Nothobranchius furzeri: one gene and its partner. The protein of the gene in region 1 binds, or shares a complex with, the protein of each later gene. Links are inferred from orthologs where the notes say so. Each region holds a gene or a part of one and is shown in the gene's direction. Other genes may lie near its edges.

Region 1 (3,825 bases):
CAGAGCTGGTTTATGAAGACATGAAACAAAGGTACGGTTCTCATGGCTGTTACTTGTTGAAGATAAACTCCCGCACAGTTTCTCCTGAGCAAGATGAACAGATCCCAGACCCATGGAGTCAGTACCTGCTGAGAAATAGTCAGCGGAACCAGGTGAGGATTCACATCCCCCCCCCCCCCCCACCCCCCCGGTCGGGCTGACTTGGGTCCTTTTACTGCAGCACAACTTTACTTTGACAAAAAATTACAAACATTTATTGGAGAATCTGTAGTTAGCACCAATTCACACCTGCTGAGAAACTGAAGAATAAAATGTGACTGAAGAGTCTGAGCTAGACCGATATATTGTTCCTGAGTTACATCCGCACAAAGGAAGTGCTCAAAAACATTATTTTCTACTAAAATTTCTTTTTATTTATCCATTTTTAATATTTAATACTTGCTCAGTTAATTGTTTTTTTTCTTATGTGTTTATTGAGAAAGAAACATACATAGAAACACATCTGACCATACAATTAGTTCCTCTCACATTAACATTTTTTTTCCTTTTCTTCCACAACAACAAAACAATTTATTTTAACTAGTTAAATGTCTGATTTTAATTTTAACAGTTGGTTAAATTCAGTGATCTGATTAGGTTCAGAAATGTTGTGAATCCACGGATGCTATTAGAGACGTTTTAGCATGCAAATAAGGTGGACAACGTCTAGATATCAGCCATGAAAAGTGGCAGCACATTTCGGCCGTCAGCTGACCACGACCTCTGAATAGCGGTGTCAGTATTAGCAACCGAAAAACGATCTAGTCTGAACACGAGCAGGTTGGAGGTTAAAACTCCTCTTGGCTCATGCTTCAGTCTGGTTCTTCTGTACTGGTCTGGTTTAACACCAGGATCACTATTGCAGGAGATGTTTGATTTGGTTCCAGCTGCTAATGTTGCAGAGACCAGTGCTGGTGCAACTGAGGTGGACAGCAGCGACTCGGCAGAGACAGGTCAGTCGGTTTCTCTTGTCAGTGTTCACATACCTCTGTTTTGATTCGAAAGCTCGTCTATGGAAAAGTCTAAACTCATTTGTTTTAATCAAAGTGTGCTTCTGTGTGTGTATGTGGACCAGGACCTGGCCTGTCCAGTAGCCTGGAGGTCCATCCTCTCCAGTTAGACACCAGCTCAGCAAGCCTCCAGACTCTGACTGATGTCCATGTCGACCTGAAGACGGGAGCGAGGGACTCGGAGCATCCAGCGTTAGGATCAGGGAGCTATGGAGCCTGTCTGACCCTCAATGATCATGACCACGTTAGACAGTTTGTTCAAGAGTTTGCTTTCAGAGGTCTGCTCCCACATGTTGAGAAGAACATCAGACAGCTGAATGACCAGGTACACTTCAAGATGTCCCTATTGATGCACTAACATTTCCACCCATCCTCTCCCTCACAGCTTGTGTCTCCGTTCATCTCAGCTCCTTTCCAGAAAAGGCCTGAGTCGCTCTTTGTTCACTGCTACCAAAAAGTGGTTTGGTGGAGGCAAAGTTCCAGAGAAGAACGAACCTAAGACTACTAGCAACCTTCTGTAAGATCTTTCTTTCCATTTCTCTCTTGACCCCGTGCATGACACTTTACCTGCAGTGTTGGTGTCATCTTTCTCCTCTTTGGTGTCAGATATCCTCCTGAAGCCCCGGAGCTGCAGATCAGGAAGATGGCAGACCTTTGCTTCCTGGTCCAGCACTACGACCTAGCCTACAGCTGCTACCACACTGCCAAGAAGGACTTCCTGTTGGACCAGGCCATGCTGTATGCTGCAGGAGCACTGGTATGAACTGCTCACACGGTGAAGCTGAAGCTGTGTGTCACACTAGAGATGAACCAAACAAATTACCTCATTCATGGCTCGTTTAAGAGTACCAATAAAAGGTGTGGTTCACTTTTTTAATCAATACATTTGCACTGGTCTCTAGTAGGAATGAATGCCTAGTGAGTTGTTATTTGGGGGGGGGGGGGGGAGCCCTGGTACGCCTGTTTCAGGAACTACTATGTTGCCAGATCAGAGTTGAGACTCAGACGGCAGGTTTTGGAGTCTTGTTGTCTGATATTTGGACCGCTCATCTCGGATTGGCTAACAGCAACATGGCTCTACCACTGACTCTGTTTGCTCTACAACGCTGATGTTTTATCTCCACAAATAACAAAAGCCTGGAGGAGTTCTGCTGTGTGGTAGAGTTGCTAAACCCGGGCGTACACTGTGCGACTTTTTCACTTTTTTGAGCCGATTTTCCACTCGTGCGAGAATCCACAAGATCGGGGCGAGTTTAGCGCTGAGTGTCGTGTAGTGTACAGGGGGTTACGAGAGGCGATTAACACCACGTGACCAGCTACCGATCAGCAGTAGTGAGCTCGCACGGACTTCTGGCGTGTTTGATGTTTCGCTCGTCCCTCGTGAGGGTATCGCACTGTTGAAGCGGCGCTGCGAGCAGCTGCGACCCAAAAAGTATCAGAACCGCTCACGGCGCATGCGCCATCATGCATCAACACCGCTCGCCCGCTATTTCCCTAATAACACACGTTGTTCGTTTTTGTTTCTACACGTTTTTTTTACTCACAAAGATTGTCAAGAAAGCGTGTTTGTCGTGTTCATGTCAAATTAAACTGATCACAAAACACAGATTTACTTTCTTTACTTCGTTTTCCTCATCCAACCTCCATAAATCCCTGTGTGTCCTCCTGCAGCACTCCCGAAGGACAACAGGCAAGACAAGCCAAAAAAGTCTGATGTGTTGAGTAAAAACTGCTATTTTTAGCATATTTTTAGGGCCGACGTGTTGCTACCAGACGTACAGTGTGAGCACATGACTCGTGAGATCTGCTCTGCGAGGAAGTCGTACAGTTTGAGCTGAAGCTGAGTGCTACGAGTGAAAAAGTCGCACAGTGTACGCCCGGCTTAATGCTAACAGTTAGCTTCTACTTGCCATTCTCTGCTGTTTCCTGGACACTAAAATGACAACAACCTTCCTCATCGTGAATCGAGATGGGTGAGTCCACGAATGTAAAGTGGCCACTTGACGTAGATCTGTCAGGCTTTTCAGATCCTAAAGTTTCACCGCCTATTTTCTATCAGAAGTTAATGCAGGAAATAGGTGTAGGAGACTATTTTCATGCATAAAAAACTCAGAGTGACCCATTATAATCAGTAATAATCATTTTCAGTGAACCACACACCTTTAAAAGAAGCCACCATATAAAGGTTCAAAACCTGTATCACGTTTGTCTACTAAAGCTGTGAGATTTAAAAACACCCGAGTGTGAAGCAACTGGGATGAGAATCAGCTCCTCTAAATCCGAGACCATGGTCTTGAGACAGAAAAGGGTAGAATGCCTTCTCCAGGTCAGGGATGAGGTCCTGTCTCAAGTGTAGGAGTTTAAGTATCTTGGGTCTTGTTCACGAGTGAGGGAAAGATGGAGAGTGATGCAGGTGTTGTACCGATCTGTCGTGGCGAAGGGAGAGCTGAGCCGGAAGGCAAATCTCATGATTTACCGGTCTATCTACGTTCCTACCCTCATCTATGGTCACGAGCTTCGGCTAGTGACAGAAAGAACGAGATCGTGGATACAAGCGGCTGAAATGAGCTGACCTGCTAGACTATGCCTCTCAGCTGGCCAGGGAACGCCTTAGGATTGCCCGGAGGAGCTGGCTTAAGTGGCTGGGGAGAGGGTCTGGTCTGGGCGTCCCTGCTTAGGCTACTGCCCCATGACCCGGCCCTGGATAAGCAACTGAAAATGGGAAAAAAATGAGAGATTTAAAAGCAAAAACTGTCTTTTTAAATAAAAAAATGCT
Region 2 (2,908 bases), on another chromosome or scaffold:
TCACAGGGTCCTGACAGTTTGACCCTCCTTCCAGGGAAAACTAAATGCTGCAACTTCAGCTTTGTAGCTAAAACTGAAGACGTTGGTAAAAAGGTAGAGGTAAGTCTGTGTATTTGACAGGAAGACCCTGGACTGAACTGCAGCTAACTGCGTGTTTGTCATTTGTGCACGCACAGATTACTGGCATTGAGTTGGTGCTGGGCAGCGACAGTGGCCGCTGTGTTTTTCTGAGCTGGAGAGGTGCTGGTGGAGACACTGCTTCAGCCCAGGAGGCCCTGCAGGCCAGCAGGTCATCACGCAGGTGGTGGCGTGGCCTTGGGGCACGTCAGGAGCTTGACTGGGACAGTCTGACTGTTCAACATAGCACCATGTAATGTCATCAGAAACCTTTCATTTTTAACACTCTTCCTGTAACTGAACAGCTGCTCATGTGGATATTTCTGCTTGTTTTCTCGTGTTTAGGATCATATCCAGAATCCCAAAGATCTCTGTCCACCTGAGCCACCAGCCTCCTGTCCTCAAGAATGAAATGTACTGCATCTGCTTCACTGTCCAGTCACAGGAGGCGGCTGTGGCTCAAGACATCAGACTGACAGCAGGTCTCAAACCAGGTAAACTGATACTAGATAATGAGGGTTTCCCACTACTGAGCACGGCTTGACTCGACTCGATAAACAACTCTAGTGGGTGGGCTCATTGTAGCGGGGGGGGCAGAGGCCCTGGTAGTTACTTCTGGGTCACGGCAATTTTGTTGGCGTCTGGTGAGACCCAAGCCTGGCTCTTGATGGTTCAGCTTTTATTCTGAAAGGAACTGTTGCCGCAGTTGATATAGCAATGAATTTTTCCAGCTTGTCGTTGTTCTTTCGGTTGAAGAGTATAGATCAGGATTGGCCACTCCGTCACTTTCTCTGGAACACTTTGAGCTGGCGTTAGAGCTGACATGGCATAGTTTTATACTTTGGATGTTATGATTTATTGTCGAATGAAAAATTACCAAACACCATCAGAACTACGCCTCCGTCAGATCTGTTAGATTCTGATTGGCTCAGTGAAAGGAATGTGTCATGTCTTTTTAACGCTTCGTGAAATGAGTCCTGTTGGAATATTTAAAGTCACAGTACCGTTATATTCTATAGGATTATAATAAAGTAATTAATATTTTGATTTCACAGATCGGTCACATCTTATTTGTTGACTAACACTTTGATGGATTAGCTTTATTAAAATAGAGTTCTTTGATTAATTAAAAGAAAAGAGTTCATTCTTCGTTCTTCTGTTGAGCTGAAAATAAGCAGGTTAGAAGGAATGCACGAGACCTTGAGACTTATCTCATGCAGACTAGTCTTGAGCAGAGGAGGAAAAAAAACAGTCATTCCGTTCAGTTACATAATCGATGCTCGATGCCCGACCCTAGTCGTGTGTGTGTGTTTTTGTGTGTGTGTGTGTGTGTGTGTGTACTGAGAGAACACAACCACCAGTATACGCAGTCATCCTGGTCATCGTGTCTTTTCCAGGCCAGGATGCAAATCTGGGCCTAGCTACCCATGTGACCCTCGACGGCTCCAGCGTTTGTGACGATGGTGCTCCAGCTCTGCTCACCGATGTGCCTCTGGGTGACCTGAAACCTGGAGAAAAGGTGCTCACTTCTGCCTGAACACGCACACATGCGCACCTGTCTGCATTACCCAGCAGCAGAGGGACAGTGATTTCTCTTTCTGTCTGTGTGTGCTTGACTCTAGCTGGAGAGGTGTGTTTTTGTGAGGTGTGCGTCCACTGGGCCAAGGGTCTTCCTGTTTCAGGTGGCCTACAGCATCGACACAGAAGTGGAAGGACGACAGATTGTGTGCAGATGCCATAAGGTCTCTGAGTTGGACTAAGTCTCACTGCCTAAAACATCACTCCACCTCTGGGTTTTCCTAATTAGGTCTTTGTTTTCCTTTGTCTTCCAGGATGAGATGGTAACCATAGAGACGGTCGTCCCGTTTGAGGTGTCAGTCAAGTTTGTATCTACCAAGGTGGGCAGCTTTCTCTGGTTTTCCTTTTGTTTTCATCGTCACCACTGAGACCTGTTTGAGTCTCATGTCCCAGTAGAGGATGAGAGACCAGGATGGATAGACTGATGATGGTGCAGCTTTAATGAGAAGAAGGCGTGTGTTTGTGTGTGTGTGTGTGTGTGTGTGTGTGTGTTTTCAGTTTGAGCCTCTGGAGCAGGTAGCGGTGGACATTCCCTTCCTGCTGATGACAGACCTGGTCTCTTTGTCTCCGTGGCCCCTGATGCTGAGCTCCTCCTCCCTGCAGCTGCTCACACTGAGCAGCAGCACGACTCAGCTCCAGTCACAGCTGCAGCATGGTACCAGACCCGGTTCTAGTCCTACACCACACAGACTTCACATTCACATCCTGACGTGTGTGTATTTTGATTTTCAGTGGTTATTCAGACTGGTGAGTGTGCCAGTGAGTGTTTTTGTCTTCGATGTCCATCTGGGACCAACAGCGCCAACACTGTAGCGACAGGACAGTACCTAGTATCATGGAGGAGGTACGCGCGCATGCACACACACACACACACACACACACACACACACACACACACACACACACACACACACACACACACACACACACACACACACAGAATGGTGAGTGTGTAAATCTGTCACTCGCTCTGTTAAACAGGCAGGCCTCTGGTCCAGACGGGCCCCTGATCCAGACCACAGTCAGTCTCCCTCATGTGATCCTGGAGTCTGTTCCTGTTTACATCACCGCTGGTCAGCACAGGCCGTGTTAACCTCCTGGCCTTGCAGGGTGGCTTTTTTGTGTTTGCAGCTAATGGTTTCAGTCCGGTTGACTGTAAGGGTTTGGGTTTTTCTCTGTTCTGTTGCAGATTTACCGTCATTTGGGCGAGTGA

The links.
Region 2: trappc8 (region 1) and trappc11 share a complex: the UniProt entries of both Homo sapiens proteins name them as parts of the multisubunit TRAPP (transport protein particle) complex. The link is inferred for Nothobranchius furzeri from reciprocal best matches to the Homo sapiens genes TRAPPC8 and TRAPPC11.

Annotation. Positions count from the first base shown.
Region 1 is NC_091756.1:54,980,452-54,984,276, forward strand, and holds part of trappc8 (trafficking protein particle complex subunit 8), read left to right. Parts: coding exon 1-152; intron 153-904; coding exon 905-992; intron 993-1,114; coding exon 1,115-1,374; intron 1,375-1,456; coding exon 1,457-1,566; intron 1,567-1,655; coding exon 1,656-1,806; intron 1,807-3,825. UniProt on the Homo sapiens protein: Plays a role in endoplasmic reticulum to Golgi apparatus trafficking at a very early stage. Maintains together with TBC1D14 the cycling pool of ATG9 required for initiation of autophagy. Involved in collagen secretion.
Region 2 is NC_091741.1:109,664,600-109,667,507, forward strand, and holds part of trappc11 (trafficking protein particle complex subunit 11), read left to right. Parts: coding exon 1-99; intron 100-176; coding exon 177-370; intron 371-462; coding exon 463-611; intron 612-1,514; coding exon 1,515-1,636; intron 1,637-1,739; coding exon 1,740-1,859; intron 1,860-1,949; coding exon 1,950-2,015; intron 2,016-2,193; coding exon 2,194-2,350; intron 2,351-2,427; coding exon 2,428-2,539; intron 2,540-2,676; coding exon 2,677-2,768; intron 2,769-2,884; coding exon 2,885-2,908. UniProt on the Homo sapiens protein: Involved in endoplasmic reticulum to Golgi apparatus trafficking at a very early stage.